3 linked regions of the Arabidopsis thaliana genome follow. The protein of the gene in region 1 interacts with the protein of each later gene in a pairwise test. Each region holds a gene or a part of one and is shown on either strand. Other genes may lie near its edges. The genes, in order: COP8, HSL1 and FUS9.

Evidence for each region.
Region 2: the proteins of COP8 (region 1) and HSL1 interact in binary tests that used the Arabidopsis thaliana proteins (3 or more experiments, as listed by UniProt).
Region 3: the proteins of COP8 (region 1) and FUS9 interact in a two-hybrid assay, tested with the Arabidopsis thaliana proteins (one study listed by BioGRID).

Annotation. Positions count from the first base shown.
Region 1 is NC_003076.8:17,236,607-17,242,610, reverse strand, and holds COP8 (Proteasome component (PCI) domain protein), read left to right. Parts: upstream 1-1,794; 5' UTR 1,795-1,961; coding exon 1,962-2,091; intron 2,092-2,229; coding exon 2,230-2,381; intron 2,382-2,651; coding exon 2,652-2,755; intron 2,756-2,843; coding exon 2,844-2,904; intron 2,905-3,361; coding exon 3,362-3,454; intron 3,455-3,542; coding exon 3,543-3,643; intron 3,644-3,884; coding exon 3,885-3,993; intron 3,994-4,078; coding exon 4,079-4,123; intron 4,124-4,346; coding exon 4,347-4,415; intron 4,416-4,512; coding exon 4,513-4,604; intron 4,605-4,678; coding exon 4,679-4,781; intron 4,782-4,904; coding exon 4,905-4,964; intron 4,965-5,066; coding exon 5,067-5,141; 3' UTR 5,142-5,458; downstream 5,459-6,004. Other genes in the region: AT5G42965 (Polynucleotidyl transferase, ribonuclease H-like superfamily protein), read right to left, coding at 5,486-5,875. UniProt on the Arabidopsis thaliana protein: Component of the COP9 signalosome complex (CSN), a complex involved in various cellular and developmental processes such as photomorphogenesis and auxin and jasmonate responses.
Region 2 is NC_003075.7:15,477,637-15,485,500, reverse strand, and holds HSL1 (HSI2-like 1), read right to left. Parts: upstream 6,123-7,864; 5' UTR 5,689-6,122; intron 5,328-5,688; 5' UTR 5,267-5,327; intron 5,007-5,266; exon of another isoform or gene 4,860-5,006; 5' UTR 4,713-4,859; intron 4,520-4,712; 5' UTR 4,454-4,519; intron 4,377-4,453; 5' UTR 4,271-4,376; coding exon 4,152-4,270; intron 3,969-4,151; coding exon 3,887-3,968; intron 3,799-3,886; coding exon 3,697-3,798; intron 3,601-3,696; coding exon 3,074-3,600; intron 2,985-3,073; coding exon 2,888-2,984; intron 2,795-2,887; coding exon 2,620-2,794; intron 2,432-2,619; coding exon 2,355-2,431; intron 2,219-2,354; coding exon 1,901-2,218; intron 1,814-1,900; coding exon 1,764-1,813; intron 1,640-1,763; coding exon 1,526-1,639; intron 1,362-1,525; coding exon 1,294-1,361; intron 1,218-1,293; coding exon 604-1,217; 3' UTR 147-603; downstream 1-146. UniProt on the Arabidopsis thaliana protein: Transcriptional repressor of gene expression involved in embryonic pathways, such as LEC1, ABI3, and FUS3. Repressor of the sugar-inducible genes involved in the seed maturation program in seedlings.
Region 3 is NC_003074.8:4,422,655-4,426,453, forward strand, and holds FUS9 (Ubiquitin-conjugating enzyme family protein), read right to left. Parts: upstream 2,241-3,799; 5' UTR 2,144-2,240; coding exon 1,915-2,143; intron 1,815-1,914; coding exon 1,741-1,814; intron 1,384-1,740; coding exon 1,236-1,383; coding exon of another isoform or gene 1,174-1,235; exon of another isoform or gene 1,013-1,173; coding exon 915-1,012; 3' UTR 583-914; downstream 1-582. Other genes in the region: AT3G13560 (O-Glycosyl hydrolases family 17 protein), read right to left, coding at 2,830-3,001, 3,087-3,114, 3,219-3,799. UniProt on the Arabidopsis thaliana protein: Component of light signal transduction machinery. Involved in repression of photomorphogenesis in darkness by participating in the CDD complex, a complex probably required to regulate the activity of ubiquitin conjugating enzymes (E2s).

The sequences.
Region 1 (6,004 bases):
TGTTGTCAAATAGGAAAAGAATTAATACTCAAATTAAAAAAATGGACCAAACCACGCGGAGGAATTCGATGCCGGATTTGTTGATCTAACGGTTGAGATTGAAGAATTGCAAATCGGATTCAGCTTCTGAGGACGCGTGTAATTTATGCTCATTGAAAATAGAAGAAATTGATATATTTAGTCAAAAAGGTTATGAGATTTGAGTATTTCTTTTTATTTTTTATTTTTTTTTTGTTGGTCACATTGAATATTATTGCCTTTGGTAGTTCAGTCCTATATTTTATTTGAGAAACAAAATCAGAAAAGAATCTATAATTTGAAGCAACTTTCATATTGTAATTTGGTATTCCTATATTTTATTTGAGAAACAATATCAGAAAAGATCAAAAGAATCTATAATTTGTAGCAACTTTAAATATTGTAATAGGAAATCTTTTAAAATTTATCAATATGAAATTTGTTAATTTATAATAGGTCTTGAGATTTGATCATGTGACTTCTAAACACAAGTTATTGGGCTTTTGTTTAAGTAAAGCCCATGTGTCAAAGAAATGGATTGTTTTCCTAGTTAGTGAAATAATCTTATACACACAATTTAAAAACAATAGAGAAAATTAATGTTGAAATGAGCAGATTAATGTGGGGTTGTACATATCAAGGTGGAACTATCACAAGGAAGAACAAAGAGATATCTTGAGGTAACTACCCAAAGAAAGAGCAATGAAACCCTACCATGACAATTTGTCCAGACTATAACGAGTTAAATCATTATCATGAATTCCATACCATGGCAATTTGTTTTCTTTCAATGGGATGTCTACCATTCCAAAAAAGTTTTGCCATCAACAACCGCATCTGTTCTTTTGAGTAAATGTAATTTTGGTAAACTATGTAGTCTATAATCATTAGTTACAATATGGATCTGTAAAGTTGATTCAAAAACAATTGTGATGTTCTCGAACGGGATCACCATAAACTTCATCAAAAAAAATCCTTTAAGCGAGAGAAACTCGTGATTTTTCGAGACAACGATTGTGTCTATGAGTCTATCGTCCAACCTCATCCAATACCAATATGTTCAGTTATATCTAAGTTGTAAAGCACATAAAATCGATTTGTCAGTCAGCTCACATGTTTAAACCAAAGTCGTATTCCAATGCGAGACTTGGTTTCCTAGTCTGAGATAGGTAAATTTCTTTATATACTACCCTCTATGTAACGAGAGAGTGGTTCTTTTTTCACTTTTAATTCATGAGAGCACTTTCAAAACATTTTGCATGTCATTGCTCTCAAGATTTGGGCTCACAACTTTTCCGATGACTTCTCGGTCATATCTTGACCATTCGATCAATTTTTCGATTGCTTCTAGTCGATTCTTTCTCAACAAATAATTATTTACGTTTCCATCTTAAATTGCTCCCTAAGCTCTAAAACACATAACATATCATCTTTTTCCGATCTGGTATCATAATATTAAACGTGGTATTGTCATCATAAAATACCTCATCATCGTGTTTTCCAAATCACGACGTGTTTTTTTATTTGTGTAAAAGATTTACTGTAGTAATTTAGGCTCACATATAAAAATATTTCTAAACAATATATTATTTGTTGATTTTTTTTTTTAATCTACAATCAATTTGGTAAACTTACCATCACAAATTAATTATAAAATTTATGAACTAACAAAAAAAAATATAGTATTTATGCTTAATATATATATATATATATTTTAATTTATTTTGGGTACTAATCTCATATGAGTTGTGACCATATTAAGTAAATTTTGTAAAGCGCCTCTCCGATCACCGGCACAGAATCTAGTCCCCGTTTATTTTTTTAATATAAAAAGAGAGCAAACTCCAAAAAAAAAAAAAAAAAAAGCGAGAGAGAAATCAAAACCTTGTAAGGTTTCTTAGGGTTTCAATCGAAGCGGGAGAGAAAATCTCAGAAGAGAAGCCATGGATGAAGCTTTGACGAACGCTTCTGCAATCGGTGACCAACGCCAGAAAATCGAACAGTACAAACTCATCCTCTCCTCTGTTCTCTCTTCCAACGATCTTCTCCAAGCTCAGAGATTCATCGATCACAGTAATTTCGCATCTCCCTTCTTTCTCATGGTTTCAACTTCATAAGAGATTCGACAACTGCTTTTTGTTCTTATGGAATTCGGTTTATATCAGAATTTCTGGTTTGATTTTGATTTTTGCTTCCTCACAATTTTTCCAGTTCTTTCCGATGATGTCCCGTTGGTGGTTTCGAGGCAGCTTTTGCAGTCTTTCGCACAAGAGCTTGGGAGATTAGAACCGGAGACGCAGAAGGAGATTGCTCAATTTACTCTTACCCAGATTCAGCCTAGAGTTGTTTCCTTTGAGGAACAGGTTTGTTTTCTCTTCGTGATACCTTACTGTTTAGCAGCAATCGTGTACTTTTTAAACCCTAATTAGTTTACCTACTTAACATAAGTTGAGAGGTATGTAGAGTCGCTTTGCTATTGTACCGCTTTGGTATGTGAAATCTACACTGAAAGCTAATTTGAGATATTTGTTTACTAAGGATGCTGTATTTTGGGATAACTGAGACAATGTACGTTGTGTTGTTTTTCAATCTCTTTATTCTAAGAGATGAAACTGTTTGTGGTGTATTTGCAGGCACTTGTTATCAGAGAAAAACTTGCGGGTTTGTATGAATCAGAGCAGGAATGGTCAAAAGCAGCACAGATGTTGAGTGGAATTGATCTGGATTCTGGAATGAGGTGTGTGGCATTGAGCAGAATTTTGTTTTAGTTTCCTCTCTATGTTCTTTTGTGTTGCTTATTTTGGATTTGCGGAATTCTTTATTAGGGCCGTTGACGACAACTTCAAGCTTTCAAAGTGTATCCAAATTGCTCGTTTGTATCTCGAGGTTTGTCTTTCCCTTTCATGTACATATGCACAATAGATTCTGTGTCCTTTTCATTAATTTTTAAGCATGTAAATCGGTTATCTCTGTTTATGAGATGAATTTACGCATCGCAGTAATGATTTATAGCTAGTTTGTCTTGTTTCCTTCTGTGGGTGCGTGTCAATCAGTTACAGAAGTTAGATCTTAAAAGCACAAAAGAAACCCGTTGTTGAATGTTGATTCAATCTTCAAATATTTGGACATTTTTCTAGAGAGATTTTATTTAAAGTTAAGTCTCTTGACCAAATCTAAGTGTCATGAAATTAGGAATATCGACTGTTAAGAGCATTATTCTGCTTCACTACATCACTTTTTTATTTATTGCTTGTGAGAGTAAATTGAGGCTAGCAGAGTTGTATAAATACATTTAGTTAAATTTTTATTGTTCTCTAATACTTTTGTGTTTTGAAATTTTCAGGATGATGATGCTGTAAATGCAGAGGCTTTTATAAATAAAGCTTCTTTCTTAGTGAGCAATAGTCAGAATGAAGTTTTGAATTTGCAGTACAAGGTTGGACCACCTTAAAGTAAACTAAGAATTTATGTGCTGGGTGATTAAGGAGCATTCGTTTTCAAGTTTTAATATATTTCTGTTTCAGGTCTGCTATGCTAGAATTTTGGACATGAAAAGAAAGTTTTTAGAGGCTGCACTTCGGTATTACGGCATATCTCAGATTGAGCAACGCCAAATAGGGGATGAGTAAGTGAACTGACTTATCTTTCTGCTACATCTTTTCTTCAAATTCTCCTCTGTTGGTTTCTTGTTCGGATGGAATAATGATTAATTAATCTTCTATCCATCTTTGGAGACTCTGTATTTAAAGCTAGTTTCCTACTTTTCCCCTCTCTGTGATTGAATAGTGTTCCTCTTTTCTCTCTCCAATACCTTTGTGATATCTCATATTCTGAAACGGTTATAATGTGTTTTCTAATCTTTTCAGAGAGATTGATGAGAATGCTTTAGAGCAGGCCCTATCAGCTGCTGTCACATGTACCATATTAGCTGGAGCTGGTCCTCAGCGTTCTCGTGTTCTTGCAACTTTATACAAAGTAATTCCCTTTTGGATTACAAATAGAATACTTTCCTGCTTGCTTATTTATTGTTTTTTATTTCTCAATATCTTTCTATTAACAGGATGAGCGTTGCTCCAAGCTGAAGATTTATCCTATCCTGCAGAAGGTTCTATCTCTTATTACCTACAACTGTTTCCTCTAGTAGACAAACATACATTTTCATGCTATTGGACATATAGTATTGTTTGAACTCACATATTACTCTTGTTTAAGCCGGCATGATGTTTATTAGATTTGATTCATTATCAAATCAAACAAGTTCACCATAGCTTATAGAGGCTTGGTTAGAAATGCATGGTAACTTTTTGTTTTTTAATGCAACTTTATAGGTGTATCTGGAAAGGATTTTAAGGAGACCAGAGATTGATGCCTTTTCAGAAGAACTAAGGCCACATCAGGTATGGACTGTGAATTAAGATTTAGATGTAGTTTTTGGATAACATCTGAGTTGGTAAGTAGGTTCATAACAAGTTATTACACTGTTGATTTCAACAGAAAGCATCTTTGCCTGACAAATCCACTGTTCTTGACCGTGCTATGATTGAGCATAACCTTCTTAGTGCAAGCAAACTCTACACAAACATAAGGTATGAGATGTCGAATTAGTATCTTCTTTGTGTGTCTAGACTTGTTTGATTTTCTCAACTATTTTATATCCTAGGTTTGATGAATTGGGAACTCTGTTGGCGATTGATCCAAGAAAAGCGGAGAAGATAGCAGCTAATATGATTGGGCAAGACCGAATGAGGGGTTCCATAGATCAGGTAAGCAATAAAAAATACTTTGTTGGTTGAGCTATGTAAGAGCCCTGAAGAGAATTCTCGTTAGTGTTGATTTTCTAGAAGGAGGTTCCTAGACGTGTTTTAATATTTTATGTTACTGTTCAGGAGGAGGCTGTGATTCATTTTGAGGATGACGTGGAGGAACTACAACAATGGGATCAACAGGTTTTCTATCTCTCCCTCCCACTCTTTGTCTCTTTAGAGCAACTATATATGATTGTTTGTTTTATTGGCGTGGAATATGACTGAAAAGTGGAATCTGTGCAGATATCGGGATTATGCCAAGCTCTCAATGACATTCTGGATGGGATGGCCAAGAAAGGCATGTCTGTTCCTGTCTGATTGACTCCCAAGCCGTGAGATCGCCTCATGATGATTAATTTGTATTAGCCGAGCAACGGATCGAGTCTCATGCCAAAGTTTTTGCCAAATTGCTGTGTTTTGGGGACAGTCATTTTCACCTTATTTACTTTCTTGCAAATTCATGTCTATGTCTTTAGGTTAATTGATTCAGAGAGGAAAAGATTAGGCATTGAATGAGGATTTTTAAGAAAGTTGAAAAGAGGTTCAGGGTACATTTTTACCTCAGAACAAATTATTTTATGCATAGATGAACCTTTCTTGTGCAAGAGAATGATGAAACTAGTAGTTTTTTTTTTTTTTTTGGCTCAACAACAACTTCTCATTTACCAAACGGTGATTACACAGAGTCTGAATACACACAATCTTTTATCCAAGCCGGCACCTTTAGAATACATTTTAGGATCATAATTCAATAAAGAAAGAGATTCCCTAGCAATTCTATCTGCCACACTGTTTCCTTCACGCTTTATATGCATCACCTTCACCTCCTCAAATTGTTGGAATATATGTCTAATGTCCTGAATTCTTGGGGCCAAATTTGGATAATCAGTATCATCCCCTAACAGAGACACTAGATGTTGGGAATCTGATTCAAAGATGACTTTCTTATAGTTAAATCTTGACATTGAAAGAGCTGCCCATCTCATAGCTTCAAGTTCCACTTCCAACACTGTCTGAACTCTCGGGATTGCACGAAGTCCCAGCCACAACATTTTCCCCTCATGATTTCTCAGATGAAACTAGTAGTTACATATAACATTTTCCCATTCGTTGTTTAATTTTTATTCTTGAACGATCAAAACTTATGCGAATTTAAGAAATGATCAATGATAACAGACGAA
Region 2 (7,864 bases), on another chromosome or scaffold:
TTGAGTGATAAGTGATAACTCTTATTATTACACTGACACGATCAACACTTCTAACATCGACCGAGCTATAGCCGATTTATTTGCTTCCATGTAACTGATTGTGTGTCTTCATACCATAAGTTTATCACCAAATCAAAATAATAGGATCTCGCGTAACCAATTTCTCTAATTTAAGTAAATCATAAATTTCATAAACAAACTTGAAAATAATAAAAATTATGTACAGGTTCGAATTTTGAAACTTAAGATTGCGATAGATAGGCGTACAAATTTGAAGCTCCACCTCCAGAACCGATTCTCTTCTTAGAAGCTTCATCCATTTCCATATTAGATATAACTATTAAGTTAGTGTCCTATGTATTTTCAAAAACCTCATCAAATCTATTTGTCTCTCTCTCTCAAGCCTCAACTCACCACACACCAAACCAAAACACCAGAAACAAAAAGAAAAGCAAACTACAAATTCCTCATTTCTTCGATCGACAATTGGTAGAATGGTCGTAACCACTCAACCAATTTGAGACGAAACCGAAGACATTTTTTGTGTAAATAAGAAACACATACCACTGAAGAATAAATACTCATGGAGAATTCCAAAGCTGTTTAGTTCACAGGATCATGAGCTCCATTTGTTGTGTCTTTCTCAGTTTCTTGTGCGGCTGAGGACGAACCGTGTTCTGTGCTGACCATATCACTGCTTTGCTGTTCTCCTGCTGTATTGGAAATAGCCTTTTGTTTCAGATATGCTTCCAGAGGAAACGCTGCAGCTTGGAGAAGCCTCATCATGCTTACTCGGGAAGCCCCCGGGTCTGAGTTCAAGTCGATGTTTTCCCCTGCGGCTAGTTCAACCGCTGGAATGCTCTCCACTTCTGTCTCGTCCCTGCACTCTGACTGTGACTGCGCCTGCTGGCTTGCCTGTCCTGCCTCTCCTTTGTTCCGCTTCCGCAGCATGAGCGTCCTGAATCGTCTCTTCACTGCCTCGCACACAGTGCAAGTGCATGACGGCTTGTGTTTGCCTTTTCCGCTCGGTGGTTGGCTGCAGACGATGCACGAACACCCTGCCCGGTGTCTTGGATGCTTGGTCGTGGCTGCAACCGTGATTTCCCCCTGTTCACCGGTTGTGGTGATGCCTGCATTTCCTAAACTATTCAGAGCAGATGCATCCTGCGACTGGTTTAGCTTTTCGTTTGATGATGCCAGTCTCCTCCTTTTGAACTCTGTTGAGACGAAAGTTTCGTTATGTAAAGAAGGAAGTTTCTAATTATACAGACCAATAATAGCTGCGGATTTTACCTTTGCTCTGCCGGACAAGTGTATCCTGTTCTCTTGGAGAGAGTTCATCAGGTGCGGAACATGAAGACCTGACGATATAAACAGCAACTCAAATTATTCAGATGGCCAGTCTCAGTGAGTCAAAAATCTATAATTATCCCATATGTGTAGTCTAAGTTATTTCGGAAAAAAATGCGCAATGTTCTGTGGTAACTAGCCTAGGTTAAACACATGAACATGCAACCTCGTTTACCTGCCAGGATCCAAGAGATTATCAGAGCACGACCACTTTGGTGGAAGAAGAATATCCACCGGCAGCTGTCGCCATTTCCCACAAGCATCACACTGCACCCATTGCTCTTGTTCCCTGAGAATTCATGGATCACATATCAGAACCAAATAATCAGATGTTCATTACTTCAAATCTTTCGATCATTCCAAGGGTGCTTAATTCTTCTGATCCTATCATTACATAGTACATGAGGCCTCACCCTGTTTGACGTGAGACAAAAAGGGTCCTCTTCCCGAAAACTGGTGGTTCCTGGGTAGCAGCAAATACATGATTTCAGAAAATACAGTGAAAAGTTCCCAGCTGTTTTTGATAACTAAACAGTTAACAGTAACTCACGTCATATTCTTCAAAATCTTGATTTTCCAGCGTAAAGATGCTGGGTTTGGTGGATTGGGGAGGCCGCAACAGCTCCTGTGCCTCCTCCCAAGTTATTTTCAGTTCCAGAACATCTACGCTATCAATGAGCAGACGCTTGCTCTTAGTCCCAATGTTCCGAACCCGTTTCCTAGCAGAAGTTAAGGACGACTGAAGAAATAAGTTATCCTTTGCCATGTCCTCAGACTTCTCTAGTTTAGACCAATTGATGTCACCACATCCCGGATTCAAGCTGTTGGAAAACATGTTCAGATTGGGTTCACTGCTTCCCTTGAACATCTGAAGAAACACGGAAAAATATTTCACTGAAAGAATCAGTACGAGAGCACCAGAAAAGGATTCTTTAATTCAATACACTTCACAGTGGCAGTTACTTATGCCTAAGGGGGCAACTCTCAGCTTATTATGCATTTACCTGTGTCGCTGTAGAGTTCGTCGCTTTACGGTATCCCATTACGAGTTTTCCTTCAGGTTCTGTACGGCTGAATGTTACTGCAGAGAACATGGAAAATCCAAGACATCAGACCTAATAGAAAAGTACGGTCATCTCTTCGTGGAATGTATTTCACTGTCCTCATGATTGGAACGCTTTAGTGCCAATGTTTCATTTATCCATACCAGGGTGGGTTTATCAATATGTTATGAATGTAGTTAACGAAACAAAAGGATTTGAAAAGTACCAGTGTCACCAGCTTGCAACTGCATGGACTGTATGCAAGGAGTCACACCCTCCAAAACGTACATCCTGCTGTTATTATTAGGCCAAAACCTGAACTGGAACACCCATTCTTTCCCTTTTATGTCTTGTATCTTTAACGGGAGACCCTCGGGTAGAGATATAGGGGGGAAATATGCCTACATAGAAGCATAGACGGTTATAGCTGATACCTGGCATTTAGATAGCAATAGTTTGGGAATATCAAATAAGCGTACAGAGAAACAAGTTACCTCTGCACATGCTTTCGGAAGAACCAGTCGACCAATACGACCCGCATCGCTCGCACTCAGAACTTTTTCAAAGAGTGGTATAATTTTGGAATTTGAGCTAGGAAAATAAACAGTCAAGGACTCCTTAGCACAGAAAAATAGTGCATAATGGTAGAATAAAAGCAGAAACACGATATTATAACATACAGATGAGGATACTGTCCAGATAATTGCAGCAGCTCTTGGTCAGTAATCCTAGGCCAGTAACGGGGAAGCAATTGGGTCTTCCCGCGACCTTCTGGAGGAGGCCGAGCGACATGAATCTGTGACACCAGGCTCCCACTAGGCTCCATGCCAGCAGCAATGGGAGCTGAATTTGCAGGTTTTGGAAGCAGCTGCCTGGACCGAGGGGCCAGTTGGAAAATCGAATTAGTCTTACTTCTGTCATCAACAGCAGCATCATGAAATGGGCTTGTCATAAGCGTAGGTCCAAGTGAAATGCTCAAGTTTGGCTGTGCAGACAATTCTTTCCTTTCAGTTTTGTGTCTAAGAGCATCTAGGCTGGAAGGAAGCAGCGATTCTTCTTGTTTCATTTGAAGAGAAGAATGAGTGGGGTCGATTCTTTGAAAGTGAAGCAAGTGCTTGAGATTTGTCCTCTCAAGAACACTGCCTACATGCTCTGCTGAAGCAAATGAGGGGAAGTCCTTACCGTTAGATTCATGGCTCACATTCATCTGTAAGAGAGATTACATGAGTATAGTGACAGAGAAACCAAGACCAAGGAAGCATCCCTTGCAAGAAGTTAACTCATGGAGAGGAAATTGTCTTACAGAAATTAGTCCGGATTTCTTGGCGCAACTTATACAGGTAACACCACCATTCTCTAGAAGCTCCATCATAAATCTAGAAGCAATGCATCCACAGTGAAGACGCTGAAAAAAACGTAAATACGTATTAAGGAAAACAATTGAAATACGTTGAGTGCAAAAACATGTGTAGTAAGCCATGGATTTTCGTCACCTTGTCACATGAATTACACTCTCTCCAACCAGATTCCTTGGCATGGAACACTTCACAGAATATGGATTGCTCGTATGCACACCTATCAAAAACCAACATTCACAGAGTTTACTAATAAGTAATCATGAAATATAGATTCCCTTCACGTACCCACTCTTGTTCTAATTGTAAGCAAACCCACAGCACTAATCTATCGCAGAAGTGTTGCGAATATCGAACTGGTCGCAAAAGTATTCAAATTAGACACAAGAGTGAAGGCCCTTACCCACACTTATCGCAGAGAGAAGCTAAATCACCGGATCGCATAGGCCAGCCTTTTTTCCACTCGCCCGACGTAGAGGCCGCTCCGCACAGTGCGTTCATGCAAACCTTTATTGACTCCATAATTGACCAATTGAGCGGCTCGATTCAACTGTCAATAACTTCAAATGAAGCAAGAGCCTTATCGTATTCTCCGCACGATGGTGCTTTAATCCACCGCAACTTTCCTCTTTAATAAAGGCACAAGCATTAAAAATATGCAATGATTAAGAAAACTAATTGGTATCAGAAAAGTTAAACACTTACCAGAAAAGGCAGAAGAAGATGTCAAATATATTGTCGAGAAACTCAATACGCTCCTTCTGTGAAAGACTATATACAAATAAAAACATATAAGATGACGATATATAGAAGAAGATACCAACTGTTATAAAGTAATCAAAATCCGTAAATGAATGAATAGTTAAGGACATTTGATATTGACATCTAAAGATAAGATATCATTGCATCCTAAGGAAAAAAAAACGAAATTAAAGTTCACAAGAGACAAAGAAAATCAACAGACCTTTCGAAGAAACTTGTCCAAAAAAGAGAAACCACGAGTCACTTCCATCTCCTCAGTTTTCAACCAAACCAATTCTAAGCTTAGACATGTCCACACGAAACTTCTCAGTGGTGCAGTGGAGATGGAGCCTCTTAAATAATTGTGCCACTGTGATAAAAACGCACCATCGAAAAGTTGACTGATGAATGTATGGAAGTCCAAGAAGTCTACAATAGTGATAATGAGAATAATATCTTGACTGTGAAAAAGGATGAATTGATTCTGTAGACAAAACTAAGTGCAAACCTTAAATAGTCAAATTATTCAATTGAACGGAAATGATCCATCACCTATCTGAGCTACAGTAGGCTAACAACGATTCCACTACCTAGGCACAATTTCAAGGAAGATATAATTCTTATTAAACCGCTAAATAATCCAAAAACTTGCGAGTCAGCAAGATCTAATCTGAGGATACACATAACTTTTAATGCTATTGAAAGAAGAATATAGACTTGAAGAAAAAAATGTAATAAGCAGCTACATTAAGTAAACAAGTAAACTAAATGTAATACCTTAACAGAGATGACAGAAATGTATGCAGGTTTGTCTCCAGTAACAGGAGAAGATATTTGGCTGCAATTGGAAAATACAAAAATTAGGTGAATAACATGACATATTTGGCTGCAATTGGAAATTCATAAAGAACCAAGGACGACACTTTCTTAAGAAGCAATAAAATGATATATAAATCGAACTAGTTTCATTCTTCTTCAAATCTTTCAACTTTGGTTGACCCAAAAAACCACTGATTTCCAAGTAAAGCTTATAACTTTGTAAAAACACTGATGTAAAGGTTCAATTTTTACAATCCTAATTCCGAAATCTACGGTCTTTGAACAAAAAAAAACATGCATAAATCACCAAGTTTCTGAACACTAATGGCCGAGCAAGTAAATTTATCAGAGCATAATCACCGGAGAGGGTTAACCCTTACCTTGGTTTGTGTGGAGAGAGAGCCGATTGATTCGATCGGAAGAGAAGGGATAGTTTTCGACGGAGAAGTGAAGTTAAAAACCAAGTCAAAGTCGTCTTTACGTCGACCAAGTGAAGAAGATTTGAGCCAATTCAATTGCAGCAACAAGAGGTAGTGGCAAAGAGATTTAGAAATAACGAAGGAGTTGATGAATTGGTTTCTAAATAAAGAAGAAGAAGCCACAATGACTTAGAGCGAAAATCTCCATTACCAACAACAACAAAGGGCTCGTGGAGAAGACAACAAATCTGGAGCGTTAGATTACAAAAAAAAAAAAAATGAAACACAAAGAAACTGCTGACGTCAGCCTGACCTAAAACCCAGTATGCTTTATTTATTTATTATGGATGAGAGAATAATGTAAAGTTTACTCAAAGTGTGACATTTTATGTAATAAGATATTAATTAAAGTGCACGCAAAAGGTCATCTCTGTTTCGACCTCACCTAAGGTTTGCTTCTAGATTTATATACGTCTAAATTAGTATTTTGATTTCGATAATAATATTATTTAGTAAAGCATTGAATTTGAGAATGATGAAGTGGCTTGGTTTCTAGGGTTATAAGACAGGAACCCACGACGACCATCACCAACACATCAGCAGATCAGCTACTAGGTCCAACTCCAACTCTTTATTTTTGTTGGTTCAACAATTTACTGCAAAAGACTTAAAAAAATGTAGCCCAAATAATCATGTCAGGATAATGGACCGAAGATTGGTTGATGGGCCGTTTTAGATCAAAAAAATCATTCCACCTTTGGAAAAGATCTCTTTAGCATATTACTTTAAGGTTTGTTGCAAATGAAAAATAGTTGGAAAATATTTTAGACCCTTAAAAGTCTTATCCGATAGGTAAAGTATTTAAATCAGTTCATGGGTTGAGTTTCATAATTGAAACTAGGCATAGATTGGCCCTTTCCTTTCTCTTTAATAAATACTCGATTCATCCCTTTCTACTGTCTGTCTCAATATCTGTACATACCATTCATTGTAGCAATCACTATACGTACATGTTAATGTCTATGAAGTATGAACAATAATAAGAATTGGGTAAGAGAGTTATATATGTTGTTGATAAACAACAGTGAATTCAAAACTATATAATTTAGAGAGGGTTTGTATATCCCTTTTTTTCCTCTGTATGAGTAATGTGAGAACCAATTATTCGTTTATAGATGAATAATAAATTATCTTTCTGTTTATCGTACCGAGTTACCTACCATATTGCTTAGACTGGAAATGCTTTGTTGGTAAAAAGACATGATTGGTTGAAAAATAGATAAAAGCATGAATGGGATTCAAAAACTAACGATAATTAGGAAACTGGATTACCATGGTTGGTAGGCTAAACCCTAGCTATTCTAATCGCTATTACATTCTCACCTACTTTGCATAGTCATTAAATTTGCATATCCACGAATTCGTACTAATAGTTTCGCAGAAAATACACATGCAATCTTATGAATATTGCTTGATTTATTTAAGAAACAAACTTGTATGCAATTATTGGTATATAAATCAGTTATAACCGAGCCATTTGTCAATATGACTTTGACACATGGGTAAGTCTAAACAACTAATTCATACTCTAGTTATCAATTGTCTCTTGTAAATAATTTAGTACGTATTTTTTTAGTTAGTCTTATAGATGAGTAAATCACCCTTTTTAAAATTATTAGATTTTCGGTTAAATGTTTTGGATTCTAAACTCAAAATTAATTAGCAATATGTGATGAAAACCCTTGTAGTTATGTAATTGCATGAAACAAAAATGATTTCAAATGTTATTCATATGTACTAGATCTTCAAACATTAACACATGAACTAACATTTTGGAATTACATCGATATTCATTTAATTGGATCCAAAAGGTTTCAACTTCTCGTTCTGTTATTAGTTTTTGTTTCCTCTTTTTTGTTTTCTATTTATTTTCACATGTTCTAGCTTCTTAATTCTAAGCTAACTTGAGTAGCCTAATAAACTTGTGTCACATGATGAGGACATTTCTCAAATGGAACATTCAGACATTTACACTCCCATACGTTGATATCATGTTATTTGCTATATTAGTCTAATATTGTTGCCTTTCAGATTTCACATATGAAATATTCCTTGTTGTAACCAAGAACCATCTCTG
Region 3 (3,799 bases), on another chromosome or scaffold:
AAAATTTTAGTGTTAGATACATAGTCATCATAAGATTGGATACTATATATAGTCGATATACTGGATATATCTTCCAACATCTCTAGAGGTTTTACTCAAAACTTCAAGAGAAATATATATGATGCCAACGAAGGGGAACATTAAATAAAAAAATAAGATAAACAAATTGAGTATATACATGTGATGCATAAAATGACATATTCATCTGCATATACACTAACACATCTAACACACGTATAATTAACGGATAAATATTACAACGTACCGATATGAAGATATTAGTCGCAGAGACTCAAAATATGTTACTCTTTTTTAACACTGCTGTTCTACATATTCTCTATATATACCATGCGTAGATAGATATGTACTGACCATTTGTGATAATTATGTTAAACAGAGTTAGGTTAAAAGAACGAAAAGAATTGACCGGTAGATTTGGTCTCTCAAGTCTCACTTGTGTCTTCAATAGAAAGTTTGATCTTTCTTTTTGGAGATAATCAATCAATAAAGATTATGGAACATGTTAGGTACCAACTAATACTCTTCAGTTTAATTATCTCATCTGTAATCGCTTTTCTCTAGAAGTTATGGCCTACTATTCTTGTTTCAAAACAAAATGCTCTTGTTTTCTTATAAAAGAAACAATTCCTCAGTTATATTCAGACCATATATGATCTTTGGTTTTCGAGTCCTTGACGAAAAGATTTGACACTAAATTGTATAACCTTCAATAAATTGGAGTTGTTGAGGATTGGTCCTACCTCACATTGTTGCCTATTATCTGAGCAAACAATTTTCTTGGCCATCTAACATTGTGGTTCCACTTTTATGAATGTACATTGATGACCATTAACTAACCAAAGAACTAGGTGTATTTATAATACATCAGTTGTCTTTTCCTCGTATTGAAGATCTCACTTGGCAAATCGCAATGTCCATTCTTTGGCTACCTCGTCATGCTTTTCTCTATCTGTCAAGTAGAGCCGTGCAATCACCGGTAAAGCTGGACTATCTGGTCGATGAAGAAGAAGCAAAAAGAATAAGAACAATAGAGATTTACTATGGAAGTTAAATACAGTAGTTAGATGCGGACATCTATTATGTTTGTTGGCCAAAACTCATCACAAACTTTTTTTTAAAAACGTTCTCTTAGGTAGATCTGACATGAGCTGGTCATTTCATCAGAGGACTTGAAATGGTCTGATCTGAAGCCTGAGAGTAGAATAGAAACTTACAGGGTTCAGGTTTTAAGAAGATAGATCTGATGGCTTGTAAGACTTTAGTGATTGTAAGGGCTGGACTCCAACTATCTCTTAGAATGTTCACACTTAAATCTCCCGCAGTATCAACATTGCAATGGTAAATCCGAGTCTTGAACACCAACTGCAAATCAACCTCACCAACTTAACCAAAAAGACAGATGTAATAAAAGTGCAAGCTCTAGATTAGTACCTATAGCTTGACTATCACTAGACCCAAAACTTCAAGAAATTTGCTACAAAATGTATCCTAAGACTATGTTGAAAGCAATAAAACTACATAATATGCTAGACACTGAGAGTCTGAGACACTAGATGATCTCTGTTTCAATGTGATGCAGTTGAAGACTCATTGATATTCACTAAATAGTTCTTCCTAAAGAGATCATCATTAGAAATCAAAACTTCTAAACCTTAAATCATTACCAGCTAAATCAGTAAAGCTCCCAAAATGTGTTAACCAAAGAATCCATGATCATACCTTAGGTGGCTTGAATGGATAATCAGATGGGAAAATTATATCCAGGAAAAAGATCCCTCCTTCATAGGGAGTTCCTGCAAAAGTTCCATAAACACCAAATTCAAAGACTTGAAAACCTAACAAATTTTCAATCGGATTATCTACAAATATTCAAAGAGAGTATCAGAATTAAACCCGAAGGACCAATGATGGTGGCGATCCAATGGTAGAGATTATCTCCTTTTGGACCAGCTGAGCAATCAGGAGGTGGATCAATGTTAAGCTCAGCCATCTCCCTCTGTATCCTCTTCCCTGACGCAGAAACTGAAGTCTTCGCTACCCAAGACGACGCCGTTCCTGAATATCCGGCGTACATCGCCGTCGGTAACGGTCTCAACCTCCCGCTTCCGCCAGGTGTCATCATCTCCCGTCGTCGTCGTCTTCCGATACTCTCTGCTTATCCAATCCACCACTTGATCGTTTCGCTCGCACTCCATCGGGAAAAGATTTCGAAACGCCGCGTTTTTGTCCGATCAATTAAACAAATAAAGTAATCGCTGACGTGGAGATTAATTTTGTAACATGTATTTTTTATTTTTATTTTCTCTCACTAATCACTATCAATAAATTTGTAATCATTTTGACAACCAAATTTATTTAAGTTGAATTATCGAATATTCTTGTCCTTTTGTGTAATGTGATCATGTTATAACCACGTGAATCCTTAATAATTTGATAAATGATTATTCAAAGTTCTTGAAAAAGGCACACATTTTGGAAAGAAAATTGAAATTATCCAAAATCAATTTAATTTTTGTTTAAACATAATCAAATTTACTCTGTCAATTTTTATGAATAACATGATTTACGTAAACTCTCCTACAATGCACTGATTCATTTGAATATGAAATTTAAATCACTCTAATTCGAATATTTTAGTTCAAAGATGAAGACAAAAAAAAGAATGGGAACTTGTGAGCCCTCTTTAGTCTCTAGTTACACTTACACTAAAAACAAAGTACACAGTAACTACCGGTAACCGTAAGAAATCCAATCCAAGCCACAGGTAGACTTCCCCGGTTACTACAAAACCGCTTTTTGGCAAACGTTCTACAAAAGGCGGTCATGCTGAAGCAACAGTTGTAGTAGAGTGAGAGCTAACGGTGCCAATATGGGAAGATGGTAGCTAAAGATGATACGTGCGTTTGCGTTTCCTCCCAATGGACTTGCGGGTCCTAACGCATCCGGAGGAAAGTTTCCATTAGTAGCGTTTGCGTTTAAGCTGAGATAAATGGAAAATGATTTCAAAGAGTTAGGAGCAGATTTCATTTTCAAAACTTAACAAGACATAAATTTAGTATCGTTACCTTCCCGTATATGCACATGTTCTATAGCCTGCAAACACACAAGCCATCGAATTTGAGATTTACTCTGAGGAAACAACTTGAAAACATAGAATTATTGCAACACATAGATCAGAGGAAATGAGAAAAACTTACTAGGATCTCTAGTCGTAGTGATAGCCGTACCATCAAAGTCACAAGTTCCACCTGCACTTTTCATCTTCTGGTAATAGTCATTGAAAGCAAAAGAAGCATGGCTCTTAACATCGTTAGGGAGGTAGCAAGGTTGGCCCGGTTGAATGGCAGCGCAGTTAGCTCGGCCTTGACCACACGCCCAATTCAAACCGTCAACCAACTTATCATCATCAGCATCTGCTTTAGCCACGCAGAACATCGATGAACCGTTTAGAGCTGCGGAGCTAGAGCCACCACTCAAACTCAGAGGGTAAACCGAGGTCCCATTTGGAAACAAAATCCCCCAGTTTCTTTCAGAGACTGGTCCTGACCGCTTGTCTTCATTGTACAGCTCGTAGATGTAAGTGTTTATCGGTATGTCTGGTTGACTAGGAGGACCTGAGTTGTTCAGCACTCTCTTGATCAAGTTAGTGTTGAATGTCTCCGCATTAGCGACTGTTGCAGCCGCTTCATCGCTTCCACCAGACGAAGGCCAGCCTGTTTCCGTGACTACAACAGGAATCTTGGAGAAATTCAAAGCTTCCATGGAGTAGTAAGCAGCA